Linked DNA regions of Pelodiscus sinensis. The protein of the gene in region 2 purifies or fractionates together with the protein of the main gene of each other region. This does not show direct contact. Links are inferred from orthologs where the notes say so. Each region holds a gene or a part of one and is shown on either strand. Other genes may lie near its edges.

Region 1 (7,714 bases), on a different chromosome or scaffold from region 2:
CAGCTACACCTCTGCCTTTGAAATGTACAAGAGCCACAGGCGGCTCTTGTACATTTCAACAGCAGAGGGGCAGCAGTTTGAAACCCAGCGAGTGGGGACTGCTTTGGTCCAATTCCCTGCTGCACCTCTGCCTCCCTTGCCCCTCCCTCTGCGGAGTCGGTGCTGGGGGGAGCGGCTTTTAAGCCACTTCCTCCCCCCGCCCCCCGATGCCTCTGATAGAAGCAGCAAGGTGGGGGGAGTGACTAGTCGAGCCTACGCTTATTGGGTAGTCGACTCGTCACTTACATCCCTGATTTAACCCGTTAACTGGTGCAAGGGGATTTTGCAGCTCTCTCCTGAAGCTATCGTCCAGATGACTCCAGCAGCAATGGTGCTCCTCGAAAGGCCGGCTGACTGTGGGGAGCTACCTTCTGGGCCCTCTTCTCCCGTTTGCTGGGGACGGATGCAAAGGGTGGGTGTGGCGCGGAGATTGCAGCTCATCCCGGTGCACTCACTAGTGCCGAGACTGGCGCACGAGCGGCGGAAGAGGGGATGCCTTGAGGATTGCGTGATGGCCACTTGTAAGCAAGAGCCTTAGAGGGGACTGTGGCGGAACCGCACTTCGTGCCTCTTCCTCTCCTTCTGATTTTGGAGGTTCGGAGTGATTGTTGTGGCCAGTCACGGATCCCCGGTCGTCCTCTCAAAAGACTAGAAGCGGCTAGAAACGCAGAGTCTCGCTTTCAAAGACAGGTCGCTCCTGCCTGGGAGAAGGCACCGCCTCCCGCCCAAAGGGAGCGGGCTGGTGGCAGCGGCCCTGTGCCAAGACGCCAGCTCGTCGGCGGTTGGCTGGACAAGTCACCGCAGAGAGCAAGTCGAGAGTGGATCTAGCTGGCCGCGGGGAGACGGGCCTTTGTATGAAGCCAGGCAAGGCGAGCGGGGGAGGCTCGCTGCAGGCGTGCGGTGATGCGCCACTGACTATTGCTGTAGCATGTGGAGTCGTTCCCGTCGGACTCCCCTTGGATGTTGCGTTACGGGTGCGGTGCAGGCCGGATCTGCTTGAGCAGGGGTGGCCGGTGAACTTTGGCAAACAGCCTCCCGGCATGTAATGCCTTGTCCTGCTGCCGAGGGGTTTTCTGCCTATGTAAGAGGTTGGAATATTCAGCCCTCCTGCTAGTTCTGCCTAATACCTTCCAGCGCCCTAGGAAGACGCCCCAAGTATCGCAGTGGTGCTCAATCTTCTTTCATTCACCGGGAACATTTTTGTTGAAGGGGGGAGAAAAAAAAACCTGCTGGGAACATTATTGTGGCCCCTTTAATTTAAAGCGCTGGTCCGCTCCCCTGCCACTTCCGCGTACGTCAGACGCCGGGAGTCCATGTACGTCAGGCGCCGAGCCGGGAAAACAAATTGCTGGCCAGCCCAGATCCAAGTGCTGCCACTCCACCCAGGAAGACAGGTTGCTCACCGCTGAAGTATTGTACCCAAACAAACGCACGTGCCCATCCCAGGTCCTGTACAGGTGTAGTCAGAGCCCTGGGATCTAATCGAGCTGTCCTGATGTCTGAATTCCGTACCAGCTGGTTCCCTCCCCTGGCTGGAGAGTGGGAGGAGCCGTCTGCGTGGCTGCAGGTGAACTCGCCCAGCAGAGCCTATTCGGAAGGGATCGGGTGCCTTCAGGAAAATGGGGACGAGCCAATTGGTTCGTGTCAATGAGGAATTCCGCAGCTGGGAATGAGACAGCAGGCCCCACCCGCTGATTGCTTCCTGGTTGGCTAGTTAGCCCAGGACAGTGATTAAGCTGATATCGGAGTAATTAAACCAGGGTGAGACGTGCAGCAGCATGGCTGTTAAACAGCCGCGCGCCTGCAGTACTTCGCTCACGTAATTGGTCTGCGGAAACCCATCAAAACGGAGAACCCACACGGAAGGGAAGAGCGCTGAACAGCTGGTGCATGAAATAAAAATAAAGTGTTTGCTGCTGACGGCTGGTAATAAACCAAATCTTCAGCTCCCAGTGGGAAAACCAGGGGAGGCAGTTGGAGAGGCGGGAGCATACGATTTTGGGAGCCGGGGGAAACATAAACTAGCAGATGGCTAACGTCAGTGTATGTGTGGTAGGGGGTAAGCTGCTAATCCGCTGCGGCTTGTCACTCGGGGGACAAAAAGGAAGGACTAAATGCATCTGCAGTACATCCTGCTCTCGGCCGAAAGGCAAAAGTTGCGTCCTGACCTGGCAGGTTGATCTGGGAATACTCTGTGGAGTGATGTCTTAGCTGTCATAGCCAGATATAAATCCCCGAGTGTGTTGCAGTCTTTTGTGCCTCTCTTTGCAGGTAGGGAAATTAATAACCATTTTATAGAGGGCGTGTGGACTAAGTGACTTGCCCAAGGTTGCACAGGAAGTCTGTAGCAGAGCAAGGAATTGAATCAGGGTCTTCTGGCCAACCACTGTGCCATTCCCCTGAGGAGGAGTCAGAGAGGCAGCCTCTAGTTAAAAAGGGTATGTAATTCCCTCTATATTTCAGCTGGGAGGACCCCTGTGTAGACTCGTGAAATTCTATAGCCCTTGACGTAGGAGATTGGTGAATGTTGCCCTCCATTCACCCCTTGTGATTGTGCAGTGTCTTGTCAGGGACAATGAATTGCCTTGTTTGGGGGACTTGGGAAAGCTGGATTGAATTCCTACTGCTCATGCTGACCTTGGGCACGTCAGTTTCCTTTCTGTGGCGCTGTTCCCTGCCTCGACAGCGGGTGATGCTTCCTCTCTGAGGGAGTGCGTGCTGAGGACTGTGAATGCCCCTCGCTGCTTGTGAGTCGCTTGCGGGTGTCCTCTGCTGGCCATCCCAACCCATGGGTCTGAGTTTTCTGCTGGCAAAACAACCTAGTAGTTAAAGCAGAGAACCCTCCTAGTCCAGCCACTTATTTGCTTTGTGACCTTGGGCATGTCACTTAGCCTTCCTGGTGTACCCCACTTACAGAATGGAGACCTACAACCCAGAGGGGCGGGGTGCAAACGGGTGGCTGCCAAGCACGGAGACCCTTGGATGGAAGGTGCCGAGGCAGCTCGGGTCTAGCTCCAAGGAGCCTGAATTCCAGACCGTAGCTTCACACTCAGTGACCCTTCTGGCTTGCTGAGGTCACAGCTCCTGTCCCCTCCTTCCTCCCGTGGGCTGCAGCACAGCGCGGGGCTGAGGGCCGTGCATGGTACTGACTCCGTCCTGCCGGAGGACCACCACTGGCGCTCCAGTTCAGTGCTCTCTGGTCGCTGTCTTGCGGGGCGGGATGGAAGATACATGCATCACCCGTGCATGGCTGCTGTGCCCTGCCGCTCTCCCCTTGATACGGTGGCCGACACCAGGGCAGATCCCAGCCCCGGTCCCAGGAGAAATGTGGCAGTATCGTGTCCAGGGCCTCCTCCAGTGTGAGGTGATGAGGTGTCGCTTGGTCCGAGATCTAAAGCCCCTGCTGGCATACAGACCCGGTGCCCAAACCTGCCCTTCGTCGGGCAAGGGCATTGACTTCATCCATAGCCTTTCCGCTGAGCTTCTGTGCAGGGCTGCGTAAGAATCCCGATCCCCTGCGTGGGGGGGTGAGTCTCTCACTGCTGCACTGGGCCCAGCAGCCGCCAGCAAATCGGGACTTGCTGAGTCTGGTCTGCGGTGCTCTGTGACCGTGCCCTTGTGGGGCTGGGATTTCCGGGGCCCTGTTTAGTTGCGCAGGAGTTGGCGTCAGTGCAGTGCCTTCGGAACAAGGGGGGCTGCTGGCTGGTTGTTCCCGAGCCGTCCTTTGACTGGCTTTGGGTAAACTCCCACCTGCCTCCCAAGCTGCCTCGTTATTTACAACTTGAATTGTCCTTGGATTCTAAGTCTACAAACCAACCTGCTTTTGCGCTTCCTGAGCATCCTTTAGTCTCGTCCTCCTCGAACTCCCCGCTCCGTCCTGTTGGAGAAAGTACTAGTTGTGCTGAAAGGGCCGCTTGGAACATCTGCCCCAGAGCCGCCACAAGGAGGCTGGCAGTGAGGAGATGCTAAGTGGACACGTGGGTTCGGAGTCTGTGCGTAGGCTCTTCCCAACAGCACCTTCCAGGCCATATTGTGACACAACGGCTAGTATCTACACGACAGCCGATGTTGGTGAAATGTCACTCGTGGTGTGACTGTTGCACCTCCTGAGCCATGTAAGTTTCACTGACAGCGCAGTGCGCACGTGTGTGTGTGTGTGTGTGTGTGTGTGTGTGTGTGTGTTAGCCAGAGAGCTACTGCTGCTTGTGGAGATGGGTGAGGTCTGTGCATAGGGTGGGGGGTGTGTGTGTGTGTGAGAGAGAGAGAGAGCGCGCTGCTGCCGCTTGTGGAGATGGGTGAGCATTGTGCACAGGAGGGGTGTGTGTGTGTGACACACACACACACACACACACACACACACACTTGCTGCCGCTTGTGGAGGTGACTGTGTTGTGCCAGCCAGCTCTCTCCCATCGGCACGGAGCATCTTCATCAGACACGCTGCAGCGGCCCAGCATTGTGCACATAGACTGGCCCTAGTCCTGGAGACAGTGGCACAGCCCTGGGGAGAGCCTTCTGCGGGAAGTGCCCCGTGTTAGATGGCCCTGTTGGCGGGATGGGTCGTACCCCTGAGCATCTGCGGAGGGGATGAGCCTCATGCGCTTGGGGCAGGAGGAATGTACCGTCCTGTGCTCTGCGCCTGTAACGGGGGCTCTTGCCGATGCCACTTCCTGGATAACGCCGTTCTGAGCGCTGTCGGTGCCAAAACATCCTGTTTCTCCGTGTGGCAGATGAGTGAAGTTCGTCGAGTTGCTGAGGGGAGCCCCCCTCGGGCCTGCTGCTCCCAGCTCTGGTTGCTAGCGAATAGGATGCCCATGCCCCCCTGCTCGGCCGCGGGGGGCCCCGTTCTGAGGGTGAGGAACGTGTTCTCTGGGGGGCTGCCCGGAGCTACGCTGCTTGCCAAGGGGCCGTGAGGGAAGAGGGGAGTGTCCGCGGCGCGAGAGCCAAGCTTCCTTCTCCTTCCTGCGCTGAGCTCAGCTTGACCCCAGCCCTTGAGAGAGGGGGCGGGAACTGGCCACAAGGAGGCTTGCGGGTTGGTCCTGAAAAAATCCCCCAACCGCCTGGTCCTTGGATGGACGGAGGGCAGCTGGGACCGCTCGGGGGAGGCGGGGGGGAGGGAGCGACTCAGGCTGCTCTTCCAGCCAAGCCTGACGAGTCCGTTCCCCTCTTCCTCCCGTCCACTTCTCCGAACTCCTGGCCGCCTGGGAGGCCCCTGAGGTGGGAGCTGTGAGAGGAGAGGCCGCAGCTGCACCCGGCGGGCTGCGGGGGCGCTTAACTTTCCGGAGGGGAGGCTGTGGCCAGCAAGAGAAGGCCTCCGGCTGTCTCTGGAGCGCTGCTCCTGTAGCTGCTGCTCGGAGCCCTTGCTGCAAAGAGCAGGCGGAGGCCGGCGCGAAGGCGAGGCTGGCGCTGCCTCCTGGCTGTTGCGTGCAGCTGTTTGAAAGGCTTCGCAGACCCTGGGATGCTCAGGGATTGGCCACTCTCTTTCTCTGCGTCCAGCTCAGTCGCCGCAAGCTGTCTCGAGCCAGGGCTGCTAGATTAGGCGGCTGTTCACCGCGTGTGGGGTGATTGGACCTGTTGTCCTGACTCTCTCCCTGTCGTGCTGCCATCTGGGGCAGGGCCCAGCTTCCTACGCTCTGAACCCTCCGGGTCAATGTTCCCCTTAAGTTTTTTCCACCCATGTGTGGAATAAATTTTATGTGCACTGATGAATCCCTCCTGGGCGGCTGCTTTTGGGGAACGCTGCTCTCGGCCCTGATCCTGGGCTGAGCTCTGCAGGGCTTGTCAGAGCACAAGTCGCTCTGAGGAGCAGGGAAGACGTGGTCTGACTGTTTTCGGTCCATGCCAGGGCTCAAGCTTGCCCAAGGGCTAGGCTGGGGTGTGTGGGTCTTGCCTAGCCCACCTGGGCAATGGGTTAACAGGGCAGGGCTGCCTGTAGCTGCCCTGTCCCGTGAAAATCACTTTCAGGGAGGTGCTCGGGGATTCGGCCTCCAAGAGCGTGAGTCCTTCTCCTCCCGGCTCCTCCCCAGCACTGCAGGGAGGGGTGGGCTGCACATGGCGAGATCTTGTGGGCCCGGTAAATAAGGATGCGACTGAAGTTGTGCACACACTGCCCAAGCCCACAGAGGCTGCACCGGCGGGAGGTTTTGAGTGGGGCCACGGGTGACCCTCTCTTGGGGCTCACAACGAGTCCGTCTCGCACCGCTGGACTCTGACGGGTGACGTCTCATTTCTCTCGTCTTCCTCCTAGACGGTAGAACATGGGTTCCCCAACCAGCCGAGCTCCCTGGCCTACGACCCCAAGCTGAGAATTATGGCAGTCGGCACCAAATCGGGAGCTGTGAAAGTGTATCCTTTCCTGGATGTGCTCTCTTGGGAGACTCCGGAGAAGGGCAGAAGGTAAGGTCACCTCGGGCCAGCTGCGGGGCGAACTTGCTGTTGCCCGTGGGTTGCTTTCCAGCTACCACCAGGCATGGTCTTAACATCCTCTGGCAAGGAGTTCCACAGGTTGACTGTGTGCTGCATGAAGAAAAACGCCCTTTTGTTTGTTTTAAACCTGCTACCTATTATTTTCATTTGGGGAGCCCTCGTCCCCTAGAGGCGTTCTCTATTGCCCTGGGAGGTGTTGGGACTGTCCTGCGCCAGGGCTGTATTTCTGTCCAGCTTGCTGCGGCTCCAGGATCTATCTGGCAGCTGATCTCAACTCATTAGCTCCCCTGTGGCTTTGAAAATTGGACCTGCGGCTGAGCGCCAGGTGTGTTGGATGGGGAAGTGGGGTTTCTCGGCCCGTGGAACAGCCTTGACCCTGGGGAGCTGGCTGGCTGCCCTGTCCAGATGAGTGTGCAAAGTCGGGCTCGCAGCGAGGAGCTTTTATTTTTCTTGCCTCTGCAAAATCTCTCTGCCTTGACTGCAGCCATGCTGAAAGCCTTGGCTACCCGTGTCCTCTCTGTGCCTGGGCTGAAGGCTGCGGAGCTGGGAGCTTTGGAGGGCTCCACGGAGCCCGGCTTGGTGGTGTCTTGACTCTCGTAACCCACTGCGAATGGGTGTTCCCCGCTGCGCCTGCCAGTTTGCTCCAGCGTGGCTCCTTGTGGGCAGGGGCTGTTTATGCAGCTCTAAAGCGAGGGCACAGTTCTGGTGCCAGGCGAGAGGGGATAGGGCCTGGGTAAGGAGCAGACGCGCTGGAGGCAGGTAGGAGGACAGCCAGAGGTGCAGCGACCTCCCCAGGTGTCTGCTTCGGAGGTAGCGGCAGGAGCACATGCCCGGAGTCTGGGATCTCCTCGCTCTGCCCCCGACCCTGTTCGTGGGTCCTCGCTTGTGCCCCCATGTGCTCCCCAGGGAGGCTGGTGTTTACCTGCTTCCTGGGGCGGTTCCCTGAGCGTGAGTCACCAGGCTCGGGGAGGAGAAGTGATGTCACCGCTCTGTGGTCCAGCCGTGGAGGTTGGGGAGGGCTGCGTGAGCCCCGGATCTGGTGGGCGGGCGGGAGGGCACGCCCTCGCCCTCTCCCTGCATGGGCGTTGCTGCGAATAGCTCTGGCCAAGATTCCAGCCTCAGCAATCAGCTGTCGGGCAAAGCTGTGACTCAGAGTTGATCCTCCCCTGAGCGCGGCTTTTCGGCTTCCAGCAGGGCGGGTGATGTTTCCTCAGTGCCTAGCAACTGGCTTGCTGATAAATAGCAGCTA
Region 2 (7,409 bases):
AACTCATCCTGGCTGTTGATTCTTTACTCTATTTCAAAGCAGGCTCAGAACACTTTCATCTTTCAACATTATTTTCTTACTTTATGTATTTTCTGGTGGGTTATGTGGTAGTTTAACATTTTTGGTTATACATAGCATAATGCGGCACTGGATTGAGGCAACAAGGGTCTCTCAGGAAAGAAAATGCATAGTCTGCAGAATGGTGGGCTGACATACAGGTGGAGAAGGGAAATACCTTTAGGCAGAAGCATGTCTCTTTCAAATGTGCATTAACAGGCCTCTCTTTACTTTTTGTCCCCCTCACCAAAGCTACCATCAGCCTCACTTTCAAGTATCTGTCACTGTGTGATCTTTCCAGGCAGTACAGGCAGTATCAGTGGGAACATTTTCACCTCAGGTTTCACACTGGTTGAACTCCAAGTTTTAACCAACTCTCTTCCCCCAAATCTTGAGCAAGAGAAGGGCTAATGGCAGGGGTGACTGGTGCCTGCAACAGGAAGGGGTACAGGAAGGGCTGGGCAGAGGTGCATCCCATTTAGCAATTAAAATGTCGGCATAGGAGGGCAGTGCATCTTCTGAGTGCTACCATGACTCACCTATAGCAGGTAGATCATTCTTCACAAGGCTCAGAAGTACTTGGACAGCAACAGAGTGGGGAAGATTTATTCTTTCTGCATAAATGCATGAAGACAATTGCCTCCCTATCCTGAAACTATGTATACTGCATTCTAGAGCACTTTAATGAGGCACATGTAGGCAAAGAGCTCAGACAGGTAGCTGTGTTAGTCTGTAACTTTAAAAACAATGAGTAGTCCTAAGGCACCTTAGAGATTTCCTCTCATCTCATCTGAGGAAGTGGATTTTGCCCACAAAAGCTTATGATACTATATTTGTTAATAGTTAAAGGGGTTCACCTGGGCAGAAGGGTGAGAGGCTGCTCTTTATGCAAGATTTAAAGAGAGAAGTCTCTTATTATTAAATACAACCAGGATCTCCTCCTAAACCTTTATATATATATATATATATATATATATATATATATATATATATATATATATATATATATATATAAAGATCTGGCTGGCTTGGGCCAAGAACCACACAGGAGATTACTCTGTGCCCCTATGGGCCAGTGCAGCCTCACATAATGCCTAATGTTTCCACAAGGTGCCAAAACAAATGTGTTATTGTAATTACCAAAATATTAGCAAGATGTTTCTAAAGCAGTAAGTACATCTTAGAGCCAAAAAAATTAAATCCACTGGTCCAAATAATAATAATCCAATATAATTATTTATAATATGTATGTAGTGATGCATACGCTTCTTGTATTTTGGAGAAATTTGGACCACAATGCAGGAGAGACTGACCTATCTTTGTAAAATGCATGTGTATCAACATCCTATCCAAACCCTCTTTACTCTGGAAAAGCTCAGATCTGGTTTCAAATATCATGATTAAACCCCATTCTAAATTGTGTTTCATGTGCCAGAATAAGCTAGTTAACTCAGAAAAGTCCCGAGAATAGCAGGCATTGTTTACCACTTATTCACACATAACACAGTAACTACTGTATAGCGTTCAACTTACTAAAAGCCTAACAAGTGACCCCTTCCTTTAAAATGCATGATCAAGACACAAACTGCACGAACACAACCTAACTATAATGAAGATTTTTTTTAAAAAAAGCAGAAGTGATATTAGTTTCGTTTTTTAACATTACAGAGAGTTTCCTAGAACCTCTGCTCCATGACTCAGCAATTTTCAGGCTGGTTATTTATTGTGAGAGGACACCCAGCCTATGTGGGGCAGAGGTAAATCAAAACAAATCTCAGGGGAAACTCAAATAAAGCTTCTGAAGCTGTGGAAGGAAGCAAACGGGGCTGGGTGAATATGGGTAATGTTGTATAGAAAGGGAAAAGCTTGAGAAATGCATTTTCAACTAAAACAGTCCCTAGGGGAAAAAAATGGCAAATGAATTTTAATGTTGTTAAATGCAAAGTAATGCACATTGGAAAAAAATAATCCCAACTATACATACAAAATGATGGGGACTAATTTAGCTATTACCACTCAAACAAAAAACAGGACTATGTAGCACTTTAAAGACTAACAAGATGGTTTATTAGGTGATGAGCTTTCGTGGGCCAGACCCACTTCCTCAGATCAAATAGTGGAAGAAAATTGTCACAACCATATATATCAAAGGACACAATTAAAAAATGAACACATATGAAAAGGAAATATGTTCAGATGTGTTCATTTTTTTAATTGTATCCTTTGGTATATATGGTTGTGACAATTTTCTTCCACTATTTGATCTGAGGAAGTGGGTCTGGCCCAAGAAAGCTCATCACCTCATCTTGTTAGTCTTTAAAGTGCTACATAGTCCTGTTTTTTGTTTCAGCTAAATCAGACTAACACGGCTACATTTCTATCACTATTACCACTCAAGAGAGAGATCTTAGAGTCACTGTGGATAGTTCTCTGAAAACAGGCCTGTACACAGGAATTTGTGTGGGGGTGATTTTTTTGTAAATGTGGACTGCAAGAGTTTAAATACACCCCCCTCCCATGGTTTCCCAAGTAAGCAGGGAAATCAGCCCCAGCCTTCCCCCAGCCAGCCAGAGCATGGGGGAAGGAGGCTCAGGTAGCATGCCACTCCCTTTCCATGAATAGCTGGATCATGCTTACTTGGGGGAGCATAGGAGAGTGCTTTTGCACCTTTTGCACACACCCTGCGTACAGGCCTGGAAAACATCCACTCGATGTGCAGCAGCCGGCAAAAAAGCAAAGAGAATGTTAGGAATAACTTTAAAAGGGACAGAAAATATCTTATTGCCTTAAAAATCCATGGTGTGCCCACATCTTGAATACTGTATACAAATGTGATCGTCTCATCTCAAAAAAAGCAAGCTATATTGGCATTGGAACAGGTTCAGAAAAGGGCAAAAAAATTTTAGGGGCTTGGAATGGATGCCATATACAGAGAGATTAAAAAGACTGGGGCTTTTCAGTAGAGAAAAAAGGAGACTATGGGTTTACAAAATCATGACAGATATGGACAAAGTGAATAAGGAAAAGTTATTTACTGGTTCCCATAAGAACTAAAGGTCACCAAATGAAATTAATAGGCAGCAGGTTTAAAACAAAAAAAAAAAAGGAAGTTTCTCTTCACAGAGTGTACAGTCAACCTGTGGAACTCCTTGCCTGAGGATGTTGTGAAGACCAGGACTTTAAGAGGGTTAAAAAAAAGAGCTAGATAAATTCATGGAAGTTAGGTTCACTAATGGCTATTAGCCAGGGTGGGCCGGAGTGGTGCCCCCCTAACCTGTGTTTGTCAGAGGCTGGAAAGGGATGGCAGGAGAGGGATCGCTTGACCATTACCTGTTCTGTTCATGTGCCGAAAGTGTCCGTCTGCTATGTACATTGGACAAACATCTCAGACACTTCGCCAAAGGATTAATGCCCACAAAACAGATATCAGACAAGATCACAAAGAGAAAACAGTTTCTTGCCACTTTAACCAGAAAGGACACTCTCTAAATGACTTAGCCACCCGCATTCTGCTACAAAGACCTTTTACATCTGCACTTGAAAGGGAATCCTCTGAACTGTCATTCATGTTAAAATTCGACACTTGCCAACAAGGACTTAACAAGTCTTTGAACTTTCTCACCCATTACCAAGACAGTTTCCCCAATTATCACCTGTAATACCATTAACTCACAAACATCCCACTCTCCCTACCTTTAATATCAGCAATTCACAGACACTTACCTTCCTTCCTCCCCCTTCCCACCCCCACCCCCCTGCATCCCCCTTCTGTTCTGCAATGTGATTTGTCCTTTTCATATTTGTTCATTTTTTTTATTGTATCCTTTGGTATATATGGTTGTGACTATTTTCTTCCACTATTTGATCTGAGGAAGTGGGTCTGGCCCACGAAAGCTCATCATCTAATAAACCATCTTGTTAGTCTTTAAAGTGCTACATAGTCCTGTATTTTGCTGTTCTGTTCACTCCCTCTGGGGCACCTGGCATTGGCCACTGCTGACAGGCAGGCTACTGGGCTAGGTGGACCTTTGGCCCGACCTGTTCTGTGCAAAGCAAGGGAGGGAAGTGCAGCAGCGAGGCAGAGCACCGCCCTCCCCCAACTTTGCTCCGCGAGCCGGGCCCAGGGCCAACGCGGGGAGGGGGCGTGGCCTCGGGCGGCCGGCGCCCCTCCCCGCTCGGGGGGCGTGCGCCCGAAGGACACGCAGGGGCGGGGCTCTGCCGCAGAAGGCGAATGGTGGCGTCGGGCGGCGCGGTGACGTCGCGCGTGCGTGGGTGACGCCGCGGCGGCCTCTCTCATTCTGGTCCCGGTCTCGTCCTCGCTGCCGGCCCCGCTGCCCCCTCGGCCTGTCCCGCGCGCGCCGCCAGCCCGCCCCGTCCCTGCGCCATGGCGAACGTGGCCGACACCAAGCTCTACGACATCCTGGGGGTGCCGCCCGGGGCCTCCGACAACGAGCTGAAGAAGGTACCGGCCGGGGAGGCGCCGCGCCGGGCAGGCCCCGCTTGGGCAGCCGGGAGGTCACGATGAGGCGGGGAGGCCCCGGGCCGGGCTGGCGGGGGTCAGGCCGAGCGGAAGGCCCCAAGCGGCTTCCAGGCGAGGCCGCGCCGCGAAGCCGCTTGGGGCCTGCCTGGCCGGCGCCGGGGAAGGCGAGTAGGCCGCGGGGAGGCGCTGGAGGGAGCGGGGCCGCGGGTGGGGGAGGGGATCCTGGCCGGGCGCTGGGGGGGGGGGGTCTCCGCCTAACGTGAGGGGGTCGACCGGGTTCCCTGCCCGGAGCCGCCTGCGCGTGTCTCCTCACTGCGTGCCCCGTGCGCTGAGGGAGCGTCGCCTGCTCTCCGTGGTGCCCTGGGGGCCGATCCCATCGCGATTGGAGGCTTCAGCCCTGAAACCTGCTGAAAGTGGCGTTCCAGCCACTGCCATTGTCTGACTGCAGCAGCATGGGCCCCCTTTGGGTCTCCCCGGCCCGTCCCTGTGGAGCTGGTCTTTCCCAAGCTGAAAGCACCTAGGGAAAATAAACAAGGAAGCTGAGCATTAGAGCCCAGTGTTTTGGGATCCTCATTACCCTATACCCATCACTGACCTCTAAACGTGTATTGGTTGTATTAATCTTCTAGTATGCCAGCCACTCCTTACCCACTTCCCAACTGCATCACCTAGCACTTAAAAGTACATCATAGCCTTGGTTAGGTATTTACTGGTCACCGCCTGTGATCCCTTGGAATAATGGTGGTGCTGCTGCAGTGAACTAGGTATCTGCACGTGATAGCCAAATTTGTTTGGGGTGGGCATTAATTGTTATGAAACTATATGTCCAATACGTGTTGATAAAAGGAAGCTATGAAATGATGGCAGCCAAGTATGATCATACTGTCTACAGAAAGAAACCTTGTTTGGGGCATCTTGTTTGTTGTATGAATGGTGGTCTTGGAAACGCAATTGTTTAATACCTATAAAACAAAACAAGTACATAGTCCAAAGTATACTTAAATAGTTAATGGTAAAGTTGCCAGCTATCTCTCAGTGCCAAGCACGTAATCTCTCGTTAATTAATTTGGACCTAACTGGGTGTCTAAATACTGAGAACGTGTAATTCTAATGTCAGTACCAAGCAAATTAGTTGAAACTATAATACAGAATAAAATTATCAGACACGTAGCTGAACATAATTTGTTGGGGAAAAGTCAACATGGTTTCTGTAAAGAAAAATCATGCCTTACTAATCTGCTAGAGTTCTTTGAGGGAGTCAACGAGCATGTGAACAAGGGGGATCCAGTGGATATAGTGTACTTAGATTTCCAGAAAGCCTTTGACAAGATCCCTCACTAAATGCTCTTAAGCAAAGTAAGTTGTCAAGGGATATGAGGGAAGGTCCTTTCATGGATTGATAACTGGTTAAAAGACAGGAAACAAAAGATAGGAATAAATGGTAAGTTTTCAGTGTGGAGAGAGAGAACTAGTGGTGTCCCCAAGGGTCTGTCCTGGGACCAATCCTATTCAATGTATTTATAAATGATCTAGAGAAAGGGTTCAGAGGGGTAGTCAAGTTAGTCTGTAAGTAGAAAAACTTAAAAAAAATAGTCTAGTAGCACCTTAAAGACTAACAAAACATGTTGATGGTATCATGAGCTTTCATGGGCATCATCCACTTGTTAGTAAGTTATGTTTTGTTAGTCTAATAGCATCTTAAAGGCTATTCATTGCTTTTTAAGGTGTTTTTTTGTTTTGTTTGTTTTTGTGGGGGGGGGTTTTAAGAGAAAGGGGTAAACAGTGAGGTGGCAAAATTTGTAGATAATACCAAACTGCTCAAGATATTTAAGACCAAAGCAGACTGTGAAAAGATTCAAAAAGACGTCACCAGACTAAGTGATAGGACAACAAAATGGGAAATTAATTTTAATGTTGATAAATGCGAAGTAATGCACATTAGAAAAAATTATCCTGTCTATGCATAAAAATTTGATGGGGGTTAATTTGGCTACAACTACTCAAGAGAGATATCTTGGAGTCATTGTGGATAATTCTCTGAAAACATCTACTCAATGTATAGCAGCAGTCAAAAAAAAGCAAACAATGTTAGGAGTCATTTAGAAAGGGATAGAGAATAAGACAAAGGATATCATATTGCCTCTATATAAACCCAGGGTATGCCTACCACTTGAATACTGCATACAGATGTGATTGCCTCATCTCAAAAAAGATATATTGGCATTGGAAAAGGTTCAGAAATGGCTAACAAAAATGATTAGGGGTTTGGAACAGGTCCCATATGAAGAGAGGTTAAAAAGACTTGGGCTTTTCAGCTTAGAAAAGAGAAGACTAAGGGTGGGAGAGTATGATCGAGGTCTATAAAATCATGACTGGTATGGAAAAAGTGAATAAGGAAAAGTTATTTACTTATTCCCACAATATAAGAAGTAGGGGGTCACCACATGAAATTAATAGGGAACAGGTTTAAACAAACAAAAGGAAGGTTTTTTTTTCCCACTCAGGGCATAGTCAACCTCTGGAACTCCTTGCCAGAGGATGTAGTGATGGCTAGGACTTTAACAGGGTTCAAAAAAGAACTAGGTAAGTTCATGGAGGTTAAATCCATCAATGGCTATTAGCCAGGATGGGTAGGAAAGGTGTCCCTAGCCTATTGTTTGTCTGGAAATGGATGACGGAGAGGGATCATGTAAGGTTTAGCTGTTGTGGTCCCTCCCTCTGGGGCATCTGGTATTGACCACTATAAGCAGTCAGGCTACCGGGCTAGATGGACCATTGGTCTGGCCCAGTATGGCCGTTCTTTTGTAACATACTTACAAGCTACTCTAATGAAACTGAGACAATATAGGGAGACACTTTTAATCTGATGTCT

The links.
Region 1: the proteins of DNAJA2 (region 2) and LLGL1 purify together in Homo sapiens (co-immunoprecipitation; 3 studies listed by BioGRID and IntAct, with this or other methods). This does not show direct contact. The link is inferred for Pelodiscus sinensis from reciprocal best matches to the Homo sapiens genes DNAJA2 and LLGL1.

What each region holds. Positions count from the first base shown.
Region 1 is NC_134726.1:34,107,328-34,115,041, forward strand, and holds the start of LLGL1 (lethal(2) giant larvae protein homolog 1), read left to right. Parts: upstream 1-4,640; 5' UTR 4,641-4,655; coding exon 4,656-4,892; intron 4,893-6,286; coding exon 6,287-6,384; intron 6,385-7,714. UniProt on the Homo sapiens protein: Cortical cytoskeleton protein found in a complex involved in maintaining cell polarity and epithelial integrity. Involved in the regulation of mitotic spindle orientation, proliferation, differentiation and tissue organization of neuroepithelial cells.
Region 2 is NC_134722.1:27,730,786-27,738,194, reverse strand, and holds the start of DNAJA2 (dnaJ homolog subfamily A member 2), read left to right. Parts: upstream 1-4,308; 5' UTR 4,309-4,441; coding exon 4,442-4,519; intron 4,520-7,409. UniProt on the Homo sapiens protein: Co-chaperone of Hsc70. Stimulates ATP hydrolysis and the folding of unfolded proteins mediated by HSPA1A/B (in vitro).